4 linked regions of the Arabidopsis thaliana genome follow. The protein of the gene in region 2 interacts with the protein of the main gene of each other region in a pairwise test. Each region holds a gene or a part of one and is shown on either strand. Other genes may lie near its edges.

Evidence for each region.
Region 1: the proteins of MEE62 (region 2) and IQD6 interact in a protein complementation assay, tested with the Arabidopsis thaliana proteins (one large-scale study listed by BioGRID).
Region 3: the proteins of MEE62 (region 2) and AT3G12180 interact in a protein complementation assay, tested with the Arabidopsis thaliana proteins (one large-scale study listed by BioGRID).
Region 4: the proteins of MEE62 (region 2) and HVA22J interact in a protein complementation assay, tested with the Arabidopsis thaliana proteins (one large-scale study listed by BioGRID).

Annotation. Positions count from the first base shown.
Region 1 is NC_003071.7:11,142,775-11,147,089, reverse strand, and holds IQD6 (IQ-domain 6), read left to right. Parts: upstream 1-1,986; 5' UTR 1,987-2,107; coding exon 2,108-2,173; intron 2,174-2,247; coding exon 2,248-2,475; intron 2,476-2,552; coding exon 2,553-2,780; intron 2,781-2,852; coding exon 2,853-2,966; intron 2,967-3,042; coding exon 3,043-3,657; 3' UTR 3,658-3,800; downstream 3,801-4,315. Other genes in the region: CYP711A1 (cytochrome P450, family 711, subfamily A, polypeptide 1), read right to left, coding at 3,820-4,149, 4,232-4,315. UniProt on the Arabidopsis thaliana protein: May be involved in cooperative interactions with calmodulins or calmodulin-like proteins. Recruits calmodulin proteins to microtubules, thus being a potential scaffold in cellular signaling and trafficking.
Region 2 is NC_003076.8:18,574,970-18,581,204, reverse strand, and holds MEE62 (Leucine-rich repeat protein kinase family protein), read left to right. Parts: upstream 1-1,963; 5' UTR 1,964-2,232; coding exon 2,233-3,613; intron 3,614-4,381; coding exon of another isoform or gene 4,382-4,473; exon of another isoform or gene 4,474-4,820; coding exon 4,821-5,440; 3' UTR 5,441-5,685; downstream 5,686-6,235. UniProt on the Arabidopsis thaliana protein: Can phosphorylate the myelin basic protein in vitro. Required for endosperm development in embryos. Maybe involved in auxin and osmotic stress responses.
Region 3 is NC_003074.8:3,881,376-3,885,412, reverse strand, and holds AT3G12180 (Cornichon family protein), read right to left. Parts: upstream 2,084-4,037; 5' UTR 1,950-2,083; coding exon 1,875-1,949; intron 1,394-1,874; coding exon 1,212-1,393; intron 1,127-1,211; coding exon 1,004-1,126; intron 904-1,003; coding exon 843-903; 3' UTR 549-842; downstream 1-548. Other genes in the region: AT3G12170 (Chaperone DnaJ-domain superfamily protein), read right to left, coding at 2,758-2,962, 3,055-3,145, 3,237-3,319, 3,406-3,512, 3,598-3,657, 3,739-3,840, 3,942-4,037.
Region 4 is NC_003071.7:15,122,584-15,127,212, forward strand, and holds HVA22J (HVA22-like protein J), read right to left. Parts: upstream 3,006-4,629; 5' UTR 2,880-3,005; intron 2,792-2,879; 5' UTR 2,672-2,791; intron 2,582-2,671; 5' UTR 2,558-2,581; coding exon 2,526-2,557; intron 2,437-2,525; coding exon 2,338-2,436; intron 1,912-2,337; coding exon 1,855-1,911; intron 1,748-1,854; coding exon 1,684-1,747; intron 1,581-1,683; coding exon 1,446-1,580; intron 1,337-1,445; coding exon 1,253-1,336; intron 1,147-1,252; coding exon 841-1,146; 3' UTR 537-840; downstream 1-536. Other genes in the region: E2F3 (E2F transcription factor 3), read left to right, coding at 48-117, 213-310.

The sequences.
Region 1 (4,315 bases), on a different chromosome or scaffold from region 2:
CAAAAAGTTGACAATGAAGGCGAAGTTGCAAAACCTCAATTGAAGAAAGTTGATTATATCAGAAAAGTCAACAACGGACAAATAATATTGGATATGAAGAAATCCAACCTAGTCCAACAGTAGAGAAACCATAAGTTTAGTCAAATTCCAAAGAAAGCTCCAACAACTAAAGAAGTTAAAAAAGGATTTTGACTATCTCTTCTCTCTACCTTCAAAGATATGTGAAAAACGACCCAAAGCCAAAGTTACACTCCTATGTCTAAAGAATTCGTTTGCCGAAAGTGATCCGCTTAATATGATCTAAAATTATTTACAATAGAGAGTGTTGAATTGATTTAATAGGATATTGCAAATGATGATGAAAATGAGGTGGATTAAATTGTGTTAAAAAACAATAGTTGGTTTTGATTTGCTTTTTTTTTTTGGTATCAGGAATTCAATCTCTGGATTTCATCGTCAATGTATTATGATCCTCAATTGAAAAATGGCAAAAGATTTTATTTAATACAATATTTTTGTGTTCTCTCTTCTAATTCATTTCATGGGTTTCATGTAGAGTCTGTTTCCAATTTATTTATTTGTGTGTTGTAATACTCTATGATTTTGATTTATTTTTAGTTTGTAACATATTGTTTCTATCTCATTTCCTCTTTAAGAGCTATGCCACCACCATTCTGGTTGATTTGTGAGTTAGCACATTAATCGCTAATGTACATCATATCAGAAACAACTCTTGACTCGATTTTTTTTACTTTCATTGTATGTTTAATGTAGTTTTTTCTTCAACATTGGGCCACAATTGGCCGGCCCATTAGCCAGACAAACAACTCTTGGATCGAATTTTTTTCCTTTCATTGTGTATTTCATGTAGTTTTTTTTCAACATTGGGCCACAATTGTCCGGCCCATTAGCCAAATCCCTACATTTGTATCGAGCGGGACTCAATCCCAAGTGTGATGGTGCATGTTTTCGGTGGTACATGTTTTCATGTAATTTTTGTTTTATTATTTTAAGAAGTTATCATCAATTAGAATTAATTGTATATATCTCATTTTCATTGTATAGCTAAGGACCCAATCTTTACAGAGTTCATCTTTTTTCTCTGTCTGATTAATCTTTTTTTTTTATTATGTCTAATTAATCTTAAAGTTGCTAGACAAATAGATTCATGTACAAGATTCACTCAAACTAAATATGAGCGAGAAAAAATAGTATATATATTGAAAACTAAATTTGGGAGATACATGGGCATTTTTTTCGATTCTTTAACTCGTGAATTTAGGTTGTTCTTTTGTCGTTTCAGTTGTTGTTTTTTTGTATCAATCACTCGTGAATTTAGTTTTTTTATGAGAGCATAATTTATTATAATTTGCAATAGAGTTGTAAAGTTTAAATTGCTATAACGCTGTTTTGTGGAGAGTTAAATAGGGTGTTGACTGTTGAGTCATAAGACCAATGTGTATGGTCTTAGAAAGAAAACCTTGTCATAATTATATAAGATAATAAGTTCTGTTATAGAGGTTATTAGACAAGTGATAGGTCTAACCAGTCCAAATCACAAAATCCAAAAGCTAAACATTGCTTTTCGAAAGAGAATGTATTTCGTAAATCTGATTTGCAACATTTTGGGAAGTTTAAATTTCGAATCCAATGATATAAGAATAATAAAACAAAACAAGGTATTACATGAACATGAGTGAGTCACTGTAAAAAGTAAAAAACAACAAAAAGCCTAACATACATATATATATATATTTATTAATTTATTGTACCTTTTCATGGTTTCTTTTTTCATGCCTGTAACTCTGAGAAGGACACAGACACATTTGTTTGTGTAAGTAATAAATAAGTGTGAAAACACAATCAGAGACAAAAGCCTAAAGACTCGAGCAAACTTTTTATTAATATTTTGTTTGTTGCTTTGCTTTGATTTGTTCAAATTTCAAAAACTTCTCTTTAACCCACCACTCCCTCCATTACCACCACAACTTCACATTCTCCGATATTCTCTCTCTCTCTATCAATCTCTCACTCTCAAACTTTCTACATACCTGAAGAAAAAAATAATCTACGAATTCGAGCCAAAAAGATCGAAACTTTTTAATCTATGGGTGCTTCAGGGAAATGGGTCAAGTCCATTATCGGTCTCAAGAAGCTAGAGAAGGATGAAATCGTAAGTTCATTATCTTTTTTTTTTGTTCTCTCGTTCAAAGGTTAAAGCTTTATCGAGAGATACTCTGTTTTCAGGAAAAGGGTAATGGGAAAAACAAGAAATGGAAGCTATGGAGGACTACTTCAGTAGATTCATGGAAGGGTTTTCGAGGAAAACATCGGTCTGATTCAGACGGTGTTGATTCTTCTACTGTTTACTCTGCTGCTGTTGCTACTGTTCTTAGAGCTCCTCCTAAAGATTTCAAAGCTGTTAGAGAAGAATGGGCTGCTATTAGAATCCAAACCGCTTTTCGTGGATTCTTGGTGAGTTTGCTAATTGGTTTTGATTAGAATTGAGAGGAATAGAACTTAGTTTAATTTGAGGATTTGTTGTTAATTAGGCGAGAAGAGCGTTGAGGGCATTGAAAGGGATAGTGAGGTTACAAGCTTTAGTGAGAGGAAGACAAGTTAGGAAACAAGCAGCTGTTACATTGAGATGCATGCAAGCTTTGGTGAGAGTACAAGCTCGTGTTAGAGCTCGTCGTGTGAGGATGACTGTTGAAGGACAAGCTGTTCAAAAGCTTTTAGATGAACATAGAACCAAATCTGATCTCTTGAAAGAAGTCGAGGTTCTTGTCTTTACCTTTTTAGCTCATTGGTTTGATGATTGTTTATTGTTTTGAGATTTGTTATGTTCTCAGGAAGGGTGGTGTGATAGGAAAGGTACTGTGGATGATATTAAGTCAAAGTTGCAGCAGAGACAAGAAGGTGCTTTTAAGAGGGAACGTGCTTTGGCTTATGCTCTTGCTCAAAAGGTAACTAACTTGTCCACATTCAACATCTTGTTTAAGTTCGTGTCTGAAGCTGAATCGGGAATCTTGTTTTGTGTAGCAATGGAGGTCAACTACTAGCTCAAACCTTAAGACGAATAGTTCGATTTCGTATCTTAAAAGTCAAGAGTTTGATAAGAATAGTTGGGGATGGAGTTGGTTGGAGCGTTGGATGGCTGCTAGGCCATGGGAGACTAGACTTATGGACACTGTTGATACCGCTGCCACGCCTCCTCCTCTGCCTCATAAACATTTGAAATCACCGGAAACTGCGGATGTTGTTCAAGTTAGAAGAAACAATGTGACCACTAGAGTATCTGCAAAACCTCCTCCTCATATGCTGTCTTCAAGTCCTGGTTATGAGTTTAACGAGAGCTCAGGTTCATCCTCGATTTGTACTTCAACTACGCCTGTTTCTGGAAAAACTGGACTTGTTTCAGATAACTCTAGCAGTCAAGCAAAAAAGCACAAGCCAAGTTACATGAGCTTGACTGAATCGACAAAGGCTAAGCGAAGAACTAACCGCGGTCTCAGGCAATCTATGGATGAGTTTCAGTTTATGAAGAACTCTGGAATGTTTACAGGGGAATTGAAGACTAGTCCTTCCTCAGATCCTTTTGTTAGTTTCTCCAAACCACTCGGTGTTCCTACTCGATTCGAGAAGCCGAGAGGTTAAATGTGACCTTGTTAGATTGGAGTTTCAACAGCTTGTTGTTGTCTTGTGTGTTGTGAGATATCTGTGTATGTTGTTAATTGTTCTTTTTCCTTTGGAACTACATTGGAGTTTTGAATTTAAATATAAATTTCAGTCTTGCTTTTATTTCACTTGTTTCAAGAATCAGAATCTTTTGATGGTTCTGAGCTTAACCCCGTTCTTGAAGCTGAGAATTATACCATAATCAAGCTGCAGTGGTATCTCCATTTCTAGGGAATGTCTGAAAATGTAATTACGGTAGAGATGCAGTAATGTGAGTTTGATCTCTTGCAGGGCAAATCTCTGTCCAACACAGGCTCGTGGACCGATACCGAATGGGATGAAAGCGTATGGATGTCTATGTTTCTCCTCTTCTCCGTTCGGATCAAATCTTTCCGGCTTGAACTTCTCCGGTTCTGGAAAGTTTTTAGGGTCCTTTGCTAGAACTCCTAGTGCTAACCAAACCCATGTCCCCTAAGCAACAACCACAAGGTAAGTAATAGATTACAAGTGCTGACTGTAAATGGACTAATCCGCTTGATGGGTTTGAATATACCTTTGGGAGTAAATAACCTCCTATCTCCACTTCTTTAGCAGTTTCCCTTGCAACCAAAGGAGAAACCATGTAGAATCTCATAGC
Region 2 (6,235 bases):
TTTACGCAGCTAATGTAATTAAAAAGTTAGTCCTAATGAAATAATGTAATAAAAAAGTTAATCCTATTGAAATAAGTTAAATGTAAATTTTGATATTCAATAACCGAAATGTTAGATCAAAACAGTAGACTCGAATAAATCTTTTTATTCAAAAAGTACACTGTTGTTTTGTTTGATTCAACTACACCATTATTTACTTTTCAACCAACCCCATCAACAAATAACCGATGGTAATAAATATAAGCATTTACTACAAGACATACGTAAATTTTTTAAAACACGTTTTATTTATAATTTAAGGATATGCAAAATTACACCTAGGATACAACATCGAATGAAAATAGATAATTTAATAAATTTTGTTAAAAGATAGGGTCCACGTTTCTATTTCGCATCATCTGCATCAAACTACCACACAAAGTCATCGCACCAACCATATACCTCTTTGCTTACTTCACTTGAGTTTCAAACCCATAAACAACAACAACAGAAAATATATACTGCCAATTAAAGTAGCATTTTCATCTCCATCGTAATGTTATAAATACACAAATTGTTGCATATATATGACAACGTTGATATTCATCTGTATTTTGATTTTTGCACTTTAATATCACATGCAATTATTTTCAGAAAAAAATATCACATGCAATCCTAAAATAGTGTCATATTAAGAATTTAGTTAATCCAATATAATGATTCTTTGTTGATAAATGTTTTTAGTTAATTTCTCTTATATACTGTTTCTTTACTTGTATTATGGTTTGAATGTGACTGAAGTTTTAAACACGTCTCTTGTATATAATGACAAGCTAGTAGTCTTACCTCAAACTGTAAATCAATTTCCACAGTTTACACCGATTTTTTTTTTTCATTTTCATACTAATGGACAATTATATAGTACTAGTAGTATAATGATTGATGCATGTCTTTCGTAATATTAGACTAAATTCAATATATTGCCTATCTGAGATTATCCTTTTTTGAAGTATACAGATTGTCCATGATTGAAAAAAAAGGAATTGCATGATTTATCTTTTGATTTATTGGATACCAATCATGTACTTATCATCATTATCTTTACGAGGTACTTTTTTCTTTGCCTCTCTTTTCTTTTGAAAAAGTGAAAAGTAAGAAATATAAATACTAAAGAAAAATAGTTTATCAATTATCCGAATCACTAAAATTAGTTGATTCACTAAGTTTAATCTTATATAATCTGAATATATATATATATATATATATATATTTCTTTGTTTTGATGCATATAGTGTCAATTTATCACAAAGTAAATTAATTCAATGAGTTCAAATAATTAAAATTGTTTATTTCCTATATAAACTTTAGTTATAACTTTCACTTTTACAAAAGAAAAATAAAAAGTACCGTATAAAGATAATGATGATAATAAAACATGATTACAGAATCCTATTTTCCTAAAGATAGATGATTCAGTGAAGTTCTTTTATATATTTCTACAGCTAATGTTCATGCATTAATTTTGATATTGGTGTTTACTGTTTACAATAGTGGAATTCGACGATATAGGTTATAAATGGATGTTGCGGTTACTGCGAACTAATTTATCAGCGGTTTAATCTACTTTATTTTTAAGATGGACAATAAACATAAACCGTTGTTGATTCAAATTATTTCAATATAAAAATATCTATGATTAGTCTATTTGTAATCATTTGAATCCGTAGAATAAATGAATAGTGGAAATCTTTTCACTTCAATAGTTGATCAAAAGTTTATTAATATTTATTGCTGTAAAAACAATCCCAATTAATATCTTTTAGTAAAGATGCAATTAAAAAAAAATTGATTGCTATTTTGAGTAATGCGATATAGACAAAAAATAAATTGTTAAATATATTTTAAAGGCATAAGTATATTTTGTATTTTTGAAATCTTACATAACTAATTTAAAGAAGAGAGAATTTGTCTTAGTAAAATATTATTTGCCATCACTTCACTAGATTTAATCGAGCTACAAGTTTACAACAATTTGACTTTTAGTTTTTGCATCATAATCCACGTCATCGTTGGCATATTATCAACCGTATGTAATGTATCTCCCCCTCTCTCTTCTCTCTTTTCTGATAAACCTCACCAGCTCCTCTCAAATTCTGCAACAACTAAACCCTCTCTCTCTCTCTCTCTATCTTTCTCTCTTCACCATTTCTTTATCTTCCATGGAAGAACAGTCTTCAACAACAAACTAAAAACATGTTTCTAAAGTTGTTTCTTCTCTTATCTTTGGTCTCCTTCTCACACTCAGACTCTTCTTCCACAGTTTCTTGTCCTAACGGCACAGACTTCCATCAACTAACCACAGTTTTTCGTTACGTCTCCGGTTTCAACTCTTCCTGGTTCTCCTCAAACTGCTCCGCCGTTATCACTCACGTCGTTCTTCCGTCAAGAAAACTAAACGGCACCGTTTCTTGGAACCCTATACGTAATCTCACGCGCTTACGTGTTCTTGATCTCTCCAACAACTCTCTCGATGGTTCTCTTCCCACTTGGCTCTGGTCTATGCCAGGTCTTGTCTCCGTTAATCTCTCTCGGAACCGGTTTGGTGGCTCTATACGAGTGATTCCAGTTAATGGTTCGGTTTTGTCTGCGGTTAAGGAGTTGAATCTCTCGTTCAATCGGTTTAAACACGCGGTTAACTTTACCGGATTTACCAACCTCACAACTCTCGATCTTTCGCACAACAGTCTCGGTGTTTTGCCTCTTGGTTTGGGTTCTCTATCGGGTTTACGCCACCTTGATATATCCAGATGTAAAATCAATGGTAGTGTTAAACCGATTTCCGGTTTAAAGTCGTTGGATTACTTGGATTTATCGGAGAACTCAATGAACGGTTCGTTCCCGGTTGACTTTCCGAATCTCAACCATCTCCAATTCTTGAATTTATCTGCAAACCGGTTTTCCGGTTCGGTTGGATTTGACAAATACCGAAAATTCGGTAAATCAGCATTCTTACACGGCGGCGATTTCGTCTTCAACGATTCCAAAATCCCTTATCACCACCGTATCCACCGTCTACCACACCGGCATCCGCCACCAGTGCGTCAACGAAACGTTAAAACGCACCGTACAAATCACACTCCTTTGGTGATTGGCCTATCGTCTTCGTTAGGAGCTTTGATAATCGTAATCTTCGCTGCGGCTATAATTTTAATCCGCCGGAGAATGAAATCGGCGAGAACGAAATCGAGATGGGCGATTTCGAATCCTACACCGTTAGATTTCAAAATGGAGAAATCTGGACCGTTCGAATTCGGAACGGAGTCTGGTTCTTCATGGGTCGCCGATATAAAAGAGCCAACGGCGGCTCCGGTTGTGATGGCATCTAAGCCGTTGATGAATCTGACTTTCAAGGATCTGATTGTTGCCACGTCACATTTCGGAACGGAGTCCGTTATTTCTGACGGCACTTGTGGTCCACTTTACCGTGCCGTTTTACCAGGAGATCTCCACGTGGCAATTAAAGTGCTTGAGAGAATCAGAGACGTTGATCAAAACGACGCCGTTACTGCGTTCGAAGCTTTAACTCGGCTTAAACATCCAAATCTTTTGACTCTCTCCGGTTATTGCATCGCAGGTACTAAACTAATCTCTCCCAATATTTTTAATTTCGGTTTAGTTACGACCTAAAGTTTTGAAATTGACTTAAAAACCCCAATATAGGACATGCTTTGATTCGACTAAGTAGCAAATAAATTTTATGCTATAATGTATATATAACTTTGGATAAATATGTAGTTTTAGACAAAAAAAAAAAGGATAATATGTAGTAATGTAACAAAATATTTTCCGTTTTTTTAACCAAGTTACTAAACAAAGTAAATATCTCACAAGTTAAGTATATATCAAGCAAAAAAATAGAGAATAGTTAAGTTTTATTTTTCTAAACAAAGATAAACAAGATCATATAATTTTTTGTTGCTAATTATAATTAGTGGAATACGCTAATTTAGAACAAAAATATATCAAAGATTTGACTTCTTTTTTATGTAAAATATTTTTTTGATTGGGGTTGGAATAAATCAATAAAATAGTGGAGGCGTAGACGTCATTTAATGAATTTTTGTCTCTACTTTCACGGGTTTTTGGATAAACACATTAATGAGGCATTAAATGCTGAACGGTGTCGTATTCAATAGTAGTATCTTCGTATGCGTTGTAGTACAGACGAAAGAAGTCAGTTCTGTGATGATGGTACGTCACGTAAAAAAAATCTAATGGTTTTTGTGCCATGATTACAATTTTTTTATGAATTTTCGTGACCTTAACGTAAAAATGTATAATTATTCCAAAAAGTTTCTCAGAGAAATATGTGTGATAGTTTCTTACAATGACTTGTTTTTAGGGTTGTTTCATTTGGTGTTTTTGTTAGTGGACGACTGGGACGACTTTAAAATATGTGCAGACAAGTCACATCCTTTGCTTTGGGACTCGTAGAGATTATATATAGCTTGTCGGGTTTCAATAATCGTTTTTTCTTTACGTACATGCTAAATATGTTTTCTTTTTTACCTAATTATATTTACCATGTTTACCAATTACCATAATATGTTTTGCAGTATTAACTCTGTTTAAATAGTGAATTCGAAAGTTAATAGTCTAGCATCACTGTATTAATTTCAGTATTTAACTAAGATTTACAATTTACTGAATTTATTTGGTATGGGTGAATTAGGAAATGCAATATTAATTTACATATATAATTTAAAATATTCATACTTGTGACAAAAAATCAGTATTATATTTATTTGTTCGTAACCAATATTGCGGTTTATTATTTTTAGGAAAAGAGAAGCTTATATTATATGAATTTATGGCTAACGGAGATCTTCACCGATGGCTACACGAGCTCCCGGCGGGAGAAACCAACGTGGAAGATTGGAGTGCCGATACATGGGAGAGTCACGTCGGAGACTCATCACCGGAGAAAACAAATTGGCTAATACGTCACCGTATCGCCATAGGAGTTGCACGTGGTTTAGCCTATCTACACCACGTTGGTACTACTCATGGACACTTAGTCGCTACCAACATCCTCCTAACCGAAACCCTAGAGCCGCGTATCTCTGATTTCGGTATCAACAACATTGCGAGAACCGGAGATGATACTAATAAAAACAATGTAGAATTCGATGTGTATAGTTTCGGGGTGATTTTGTTTGAGTTATTAACCGGGAAGCAAGGGAGTGATGAGAATGTTAAATCCGTTCGCCGGTTGGTTAAGGAGAGAAGAGGAGAGGAAGCTCTTGACTCGAGATTGCGGTTAGCTGCTGGAGAATCGGTTAATGAGATGGTAGAGAGTCTTCGAATTGGTTACTTTTGCACGGCGGAGACGCCAGTGAAGCGACCAACAATGCAACAGGTCTTGGGTCTTCTTAAAGACATACGTACGGTTTCACGTTGAGTTAGGAAAAAGAAAGTTGGGTTTAAGATAAATCATGTGAGTATTAGATTCGGGTGTTGTTGTCGATTTGCGGTGTGTGAGATATATGCCCTTTTCTCAAAGTGCTTTGTAATTTTTTCCTCTCTAAAATTATAGAAAAATATTCTCAAAAATTGACAACTAATGCAATTGTTAATTTTCTTCAAACAAACGTTACACAAATTGTAAAAAGAATATTTCTAATTTAAAATTACATTAGAAAAAAGAACTAAAATTGTTATTGATAACTATTGGTTTTGCACCAGTGATAAGAACCTAAAAATCACTAACACGAGATTTTGATTATTGGTTTTTGACACTTTGAAATGACTGAACTCGAAAAGGATTAGAGTTTGGCATTGACACGTTAGTTGTAGTCTCAGTGAAATTAGAGTTTAGCGTTGACACGTCAGTCATAGTCCGAATTAAATCAGGGTTCGACAATGACTTATAAAAACGCATGGAGCGTTAACAAAGAATCCGAGATATCATATCCTCGCCGTTTACCAAAATGCATTGACGATATATTAGACTATCTACAAAAATTCACTAACGATATTATTTAAAATTATCCAAAGTTAACTTTTAGAGAATTTTTGATGATATAAATTTGTCCAGACATAATTCTACTTATTGGTTTTCTTTTCGCGAGCCGTACTACTCCGCGTTATAGAATAATGAGGGAAAAATGCTAAATAGGGGAAGACAAAACAAAGTGGGTAAGGTGGAAAAGTATTGGTAAGATACTGCTGAGAAGCTGGTGAGACCATATTGGTT
Region 3 (4,037 bases), on a different chromosome or scaffold from region 2:
AGAAATGAAGTCATAGGATGGATTATGGTTTTGATAAGGTAAGTGAATAAGCGCCTATTTGCTGGATTAAGTGGCATAGTCGTTGGGAGTTAATTAAGGACACCCACGGGCCACGGCCAAGTATGAAAATTGTAGTCTATCTATCTTGAATGATCTTTTCGCTTGGATTGACTAGAGTCTCTCGTGGTCCCAGACTCTTGCCCTAAAAAATCTAAATAAGGAAAGTTCCTTATTTAACCGGTTTAATGCCCGTAGTAAATATTATCGGTTTGTGAGATGGTCTGAGCCGGTCCGGATCGGGTCATAGGGGGTCTGGGACGTAATCAAGCTGGATAACTCTCTTGGGTTGGGCCGTAATCCTTCTTGGGTCGCTATTTGGTCACTATCGCAAAAATTGGCTCATATAAAAAGGTTTGTTGAAACATGCCTTGGTTTTTGTTCTTGCAGAGTTTCTGTTTGGGTCACCTTCTCCTCCTCCTCTTGGATGGACATGGATTTAAGGTCCACAGCGGGTTCAATTGCATCTCCGATAAACTAGATATCGGTGCGTTTTTCCACAGCCAGTCTATGTAATACAATGTAGCTTCATTCTTGATACATGATTTTTATGACTTCAATGATGAGACTGAACATTATATTGCGCAAAACAAAACTGATGAAACCCTCCATGTCAAACGATTTGTGATGAGTTTTCGGTAATCATACGTTATATAAAGCTACATGATGAATCCCTGAATGGCTAATTCTAAGCAGGGACGTAATAAAAACCTGTCACAATTTTCTAAAACACACTCAGAAAATAAAGAGAGAGTGGTTGATAACGCAGAGCGCAAGCGCATAAATCAAAACAAATGAAGTAGATCATCATCTTCCGTGAAGCTATAGACCGCAGAGAGAGTGAGCCTGCAAAAATGTTTTATGGACTCGGTAAGTAACTTCATAGTAGAAGAACCAAAGTAAGTGAAGATGTTAATAGGAAAGCTAAAGCTGTAGTTTTTTTTACCTAAAGACAACCATGATGAAGAGAAAGACGTAGAACCCGAGCTTGGTATACCGGAGCTTCTTTTCAAAGCTGATACCACGGAACACTTCAGTGACATCGATGAGATAACGTCGCTCTTTGTATCTGAAGAACAATGGGAGGCGCGTATTTAGTTTCCACGCATGTCAATCAAGAATCATAAGCAATATGGATGGATATAGATACTTACAACATTGCGTGATAGACTGTTACAGGGACGGCGACCAGAAAGAAGACCCAATGCCATGTGAGGAGGAAGAGAAGGCAGAGTGACCCTTGGAGGATAAACTCAGGTATTACTAATCGGTTGATACGGGTACTTGTTTCAAAAGGGTTCAAGTAATCAGCTTCTAAATCCGTTAAGCAGATAACCTACAAAATCACACACGATATCAATAGACTAAAAAGGAATCTCAATGCTTCAATCATTAGCAGAGGCAGTTAGTATGAGAGTAAACACTATTGGTAGTAGTATCTAACTTCATTCATTCACAGTATATAACTCGCAATTAATCAACTATATGTCTCAATTGACCAAGTATCATATACAAGCCTTGCAGACAATCCAAATCAGAACTAAGAACAACTTTGAGTTAGAAGCATAAGATTAAGGATAAACAATGAAACCTCTCTGGACCCAAAAAATTGTCAATTGTATTTAGTACAAAACCGACGAACACAAAGGAAAATTGTTCCATTCCTAATTTTTTAGCTAATTCGAACAAAAAGCTAAGTTGCTCGGTGTTTTTTCACAAGTACAATTCCGACAATCAGGATTTGAACAGTAAGGACAGATCTCGATTTAAGAATCTTAATGGAAAGTAAAAGGGGACAAACAAAGTAGATAGATTACCTGGTAGAAGACGGAAGCGACGAGAGCCAAGCTAACGAAGAAGGAGACTATCCATAAAAACAAATCCCAAGCCATATTTGCTCTCTTCAACAATTACGATTCGTCTTTTTGCGACTGCGACTCTTCTCCTTAAATACCTTTGAAAAAAAAAGAACTCTTCTTCTCTCAACAATTGGTGTACTTTACTTTGGGGTTCTATTGGACATTAGATTCTTCTTTCCTTTTTATTATTACTTCTCTAGTTTCTTTTTGTGAATATCCTTTTTGTTAAATTCCTTTTTCTTTTTCAACAAAAAAAAAAGATGCTTGGTGTTAATTAATAAAGAACTAACAAAATTTATTAACTGTATGCCATTTAGGCCTATACAAGCCATATAAGTAAATAATTTCATTTTTTTCTTCTCTTTTAGAATAATTATTTGGTTCTTTTAAATAAGTTCACTTGAAATTTGTTAGTTCTTTATTTAGGCCTATACAAGCCAAAGGATCCGTCCACTCTCCTCTTCCCGAGAAACTTGGTTGATACCGTACGTTTATATGTTACATTGTAACAAAGGCTTGTTTAGTTATCAACTGATTATGATGCATTACTCGACCTGATTGTTTTTGCAGGTGGAGAAGTCCTAGGACCCGGTGATAGAATTTCTCTTCTTCTGAAGATCCAGACGACATACACGTGGGACCCTGAGCTTTTGAACTGGTAAACTCACTGCTTTTTTTGTTGTTGGAAAAAAGACAAAAAGTAAAAATACACATTGTTTCCTAGCAAATACACATTAGTCTTCAACTTCTAAGAAGCAACAAATGTGATCTAATTTACGCTAAAAACATTGGTCTCCATTACAAACACGAAACCTAAATTTCACAAACTACTACATAATCTTTATTTTTTTCTAGACTTCTTCGATGATCTCCGGCTTTCAACTTTTCTCTGAGCAGCTTCGAACTCTTCTTCGTTTGGCTCAGAGTCAGCATTGCTACCATACCTAGAGACAAGTGAAGAGAACATTGAATCGAACTTCTCTTTCCTCTCATCTCCCCGCTGGGACATTACAGCGTATAAATCTTTATCTGCAGCCTTTGCTGCTCTGAAAGTATAGAAATTTTGAAACAGGTCACAACAAAGATAACTTCAGAGGGCATTTATTGGGGTGGAAAAGGTAGACAAATAGAAGCTTACTTCCGTCTCATCTTCTGGGGATTCGTGGGAGGTTCCATTTCTGCAATCTCCTTTGCCCATTTCTTGTAAGCTTTTGTTGATTTCACTTCTCCTGCAGATGTTAAACAATGGTATGCACAAACAAATCAGAACCTGGATAGGTTTTATAGACAAAAGAATTATTGCAAGAAAGAGAAGCCTACCCGCTGCAATGGCCTCATCGATAATATCTTTGAAACGGTGCGAATCAAGCTTGGGGTTCGAGCAAAGCATTGAGCAGAAAAGCCTGAAAGAGATATAGTACCAATAATGTTTATACAAACTTCAACTCACAAACTTGACAATAATGAAAACAAGGGGATGATTAATTACCTGCTCATTTTACCCTTAAACTTGTTATATAGCTCAATCAAATCATTCTTCTCGGATTCAGAACCCCTATAGTTGGCCTCAAACTCTTCAATATCTTCCTCGGTGACCTATAGCACAAATGATCAGTATACAGAACGAAACAGTTGTGTTGCAAAGTCCAAAAAGAAATCAATTGTGAATCATGATTCTTACCTTCTTGTACATTGCCTTGAAGAAGTCCCTCAAGTTGTCAACCACATCTCCCGAAAGATCCTAATGAGATAGGGAAATAACCAGTTTGTAAGAAAATCCTCCAGTACCTTTACTTAAGTTGAAAACTTTCTTTCAACTTACAGCATCATCAACTGAGCCAGTTTGATCATAGACTGCTCTTTTCTCTTCATCACCGAGAATCGAAATAACCTTTTGCAACTGCTGAAATTTCTCTTTAGCATCCTGTATTGGATAAGAAAAACAAGAATTCCGGTTACAATGTAAAATTGAATAGACCCCTAAAAACTAAGAAAAGTAAAGAAACCAAAACCCCTCAGTTAAACCTCATCATCCTTGTTTTTATCAGGATGAAGCCTCAATGCTAACTTATGATACGCTTTCCTTATCTCTTGTGGAGATGCTGTTGCTTCAACACCAAG
Region 4 (4,629 bases), on a different chromosome or scaffold from region 2:
AATCTACCCTCATAATTGTTGTTTGATATTGGTCTTGTATTTTGCAGAATGATGAGTCGGACTACTGGCTTCTCTCAAATGCTGAGATTAGCATGACGGATATTTGGAAAACTGACTGTATCCTTTGCATATATGCAATTTGTTTCTCTCTTATAGTTAACTATATCTATCTGCATAAGATATAAATACGCAATCCTTAACTCTAGCAAAAGCTGGTATCGATTGGGATTATGGAATAGCCGACGTGAGTACTCCACCACCAGGAATGGGCGAAATAGCACCAACAGCTGTTGACTCAACCCCGAGATGATCGAATACCAAGCACACTTCTCAACTTCTGATCCCAAATGTGTTACCTCACAACACTCCCTAAAATCATATACAAGGAGGGAGCAACTACAGAACGTGTATGAACCAATGGCAGGTGCGTTCCATACAATGTACCATTAGATTATGATTCATTTATCGCCTAGAGTGATGTTGTAGAGGAGCACCGAGAAACTAATGTAAGTTTAACAGAGAATGTACTTCATCGGCTGCATTGGTACACTATTTGATTATAATATTTTTGACCACTCAAATGCATCTTTATAATCAGCTATATGAAGAAATCCAAACTCAAATCAATATCCGGATTAAAGCGGGAAGTTTAAACGAAAACAAACACAAATATTCTCGCTGTATTAATACTTACTGCTTCAATTTACAGAAAACATGAAAAAAAAAAAAAAATCTGTTTTGTTTCAATTCAAAACTTTCATTCACTTTTCTTTCCCTATATATCTTTAAACAAACGAAAAGGGTTTCTTTGTCGAGTCACGTATATGTACGTTTGCGTTACTATGCCGCTGGCTGAGTTCTGGAGTTAGAACGTCGCAGCTTAGCTCGAGCATCAGTGAGGGGTGATCCCGGAATTGTATCAGGAATGTTGACTCCATCATCACCGTTAAATGTTCCGGCGGAGTCTCGGCCTGGTGTTGGTGGTGGTGTTGGTGGCGGCCACTTCCTCCCTCTGCTTGTTTGCTTCTCTAGCGATCGCAACGCAGATAGTGATTTGTTCAGCGGTCTTGGAGCGCGCGGTGATGGAGGATCATTGTCCATCTCCACCGGTGACTGCGCGTTCATGTTCACGTTCCTCTCCGTTGGCTTTAGCACAAACACAAAAATTCAAAAGTGCAAAAGGGAGGTAATAAACACAAGATTGTGTTTGCATTAGTACATAAAACGAAAATCAAAAGCGATAGAAAAGTACCGGTTGGTTAGCTGCAGCGGCAGAGAACCGGACCGATTGGGCGAGTACGTACTGAAAACCCTGGATCAAGGTGGATTGACCGGCCTGTGCATCAACATTATATGTATGTTGTTAATCTTATAATAATTTAGTCAAACCTTTAAAAAGAACAATTTGTATATATAAGTAATAGAAAGATAATTTAAAAAAGGACCTGGGCGAAGTTGTTGAAGTAAAAGATGAAAAAGTCCCAAGCTCGAGCTCGCAACTCCATGATCTTTCTGTCAATCTCTGTCTCGTGTTGAGCCATGTATGGCTTCAACAATGTTTCATACACATGTCTCGTTCCCTTCATTCATTATTTATTTCGTTATTATTATTTGTACATCACCATAAACCACTAATTAATTATGATCCAACTAATCACTTTTTAAAAGGAAAAATTATATTACCTTTGTTTTAGGGTACCAGAGATATACGAAGAAGACTACTTTCATCTCTCCGTATAACGGTAACCTGCAAATAATAATTGCATATATCAATTAATTATTTGATGATTGTTAATATTTTTTAAGACAGAGATGGATTAAGGCATGAATTAACTAATAATAAAACTTACTTACCATGAGATAAAAAAATCGCCAACCCTCTCGAATGATGAAATTAGCGCCAAAAGTATCCTAATTATTCAAATACAAATGTTTAACAAATTAATATTTTCGAGTACATATTGACAATAAACTATCATATTAGAATTACGTGCATCACATATATTGAGATATCTTTAAAATAAACCTAATACAATTGTCCCAGTAATCCCCAGACTAGGTATATAATCAACGTTCGAAACCAAAGACTTGTACAAAAGATGAGGTGTATTCATAAATGGTTTTTCTAGCAGAAGACATCAACTTAACGGAATTTTGATTTTTTTTCTCTTTTAAAATCAAACAAAAACCCATAACAGAGAAAAGTATATCACTATGATCGAACTAAAATCGATTTGCCTATCACTACAAATCTACTACATACACTACACATTATATATGAATGTTTAAAAGTATCGAGGATAGAAAAAAGGGGATCATATATAAATAATTCAATACCAGTATTGGCACCAAAATCTGAGTTCCTCGATATCAACTTTGTTCTTCTCCACCGTTTTAAAGCATTCGAATGCTGGGTATGTGTACCCTAATATCAATCTGCCATTCTCACCATTTCAATTATATATATACATCAATATACATGATTAATTAATCAAAAGAAAAAAAGAGATATGGTTAGGACATACACAAGGAGTCTGATGATGAAATCTCCCAACATCTTCGACCAGTTTAGACTTATCTCCTGTTACAATCATAACAAAACCGATTCAACAATCATATATATATCAGACGAATAGATCCATTTTTAAGCGTTTAACAAATGCAAATGAACCTAATGAAGAAGATCAAAGACGTTAGGAAGATCTCGTCCTCGTAAGAATTATTGAACGTATGAAGAAGAATATGAATGGAATTGGTGTTTTTTTCTTCAAGGAACCCAGAGGGATCAAAACTGCAAATGAGATCAAAACCATGTTTAATGGTTACAGAGTTTTATTATTAGAAGAGAAAAAAATATGTATAAGTTGTTATAAACAAACCTAAATTTATGGAGAGGGTGTCTCTCCGGGTTAAGCAAAGAAAAAATAAACAAAAACTTTGAATATCAAAGACAAAGAAAAAAAGAGGAAGATTATGAAGACGCGTAAGTTCTAAAATTGGAATACATCAGGGTTTAGTTTTTTTAGAAATATATAAACGTCAATAAACAAACAAAAAAATTACAAAAAGTAAACGGTTTCTTGCCACAAAAGCTACTTGAATTTGGGGGTAAGAGGAACGGGTTTACCGTTTGACCGTTTGACCGTTGTCTCATTATCCTCGTTATTTAACATTGTTCGACGCTTCATATGAATTTACAAAAAAAGTCCTTGAAGAATCAAATTAATTAAGTTTGACTGATTTTACACTAATAAATATATATTCTTCTGCTGTCCTTCAAAAAAAATACTAAATACGAAATTCTATAAACTACTAGAATATCTTTTGAAATCCATTAAAATCTCATCTAAACATCCTTTATTCAATGGATAATTTGAAGCAAACCTAGTCTTTTTTTTTTCCAAACAAACATAAACTCAAAATAATTCCGTTCCTTATTAATCCAAATTCTAAGTTTTTCACACATGAAAAAAATTGATCCTAAATGTATTATTTTTTGTGATTAACAATTTCCACACTTAAAATTTGTATAGAAAAATTAAAATTTGTATCTTTTTGCAACAAACTTTTTTTTGTAGAATTTGGAGTAATAAGGAATTGAGGAAGAAGTACTTAATAGTGCAGTGATCATAAGTGAGTTGTTACTTATGTTACTTATATTTTACACTAGGTAATCTCAAATCGAAAATCAGATTGATGGACAATATTATTACAACATTCTATGTCTACCAGGTTCCCATAAAAAAACTTCCACCTTTCATCGGCCTCTAAATATTAATCTATCAATAATTAAACATACTGTACGTTTTCTGTAAAGTTTTGTATTGTTTAACAGTAATGTTTATTTTTCTATTATATGTTGTAAAACAAAGTTTATACACCTTTCTAATGTACTTAGAGGAATAATAGTAATACTGGAAACAAAGAGTGGTCTGGATTTGTGTTGGAGGAGCTACGGCCTTTGGGTTTATATCCCTTGAGTGACAATTTATTTGAGTGTTGTAAAGGCGCTGTACAAAGCTCATGAAGGCCCAACACAAATCCATGTAAAACAAACTCTTATTGAGTACTTCTACAACTTCTCTTGTAATATTTGTTAACACCATGTGTAAATCCTAAAAAAATAATATATTCGAATTAAAATTTAAAACGTAGTTTAAAATAATTGTGTATGAAATGAATTAACGACCGTATAGTATAACTATTGAATGCAAATGACATACTAAAGATCATCTGACTTTTTGAAGAAAAAAAAGGTTAGATTTGACAAAAAGAAAAATATAGATCGTCCAACTAGAACCTAAATCGTAATGGGAAGGCTTAATTATATATGAAATACCATTATAGTTCATTATAGTCAACTTAAATAATAATCCTATATTCACATCTCATAATTTTCATAGATCAGTGGAGTAAGTATATGTCACATTAATGCTCATGAATGTAGACATTTACTAACATATTTTTAAAAGCTCACAAAAATTTAAAAGAAATTATAAACTGTCATTGAACATCAAATTAAATATTGTTGCTAAGAGTTTACTTCTCATTAATCCACCTCAGTCACCACATGCACCCTTTAATACCAATCCAAGTAGACTCACTCTCCCTCACACACTCTCTCTCTAA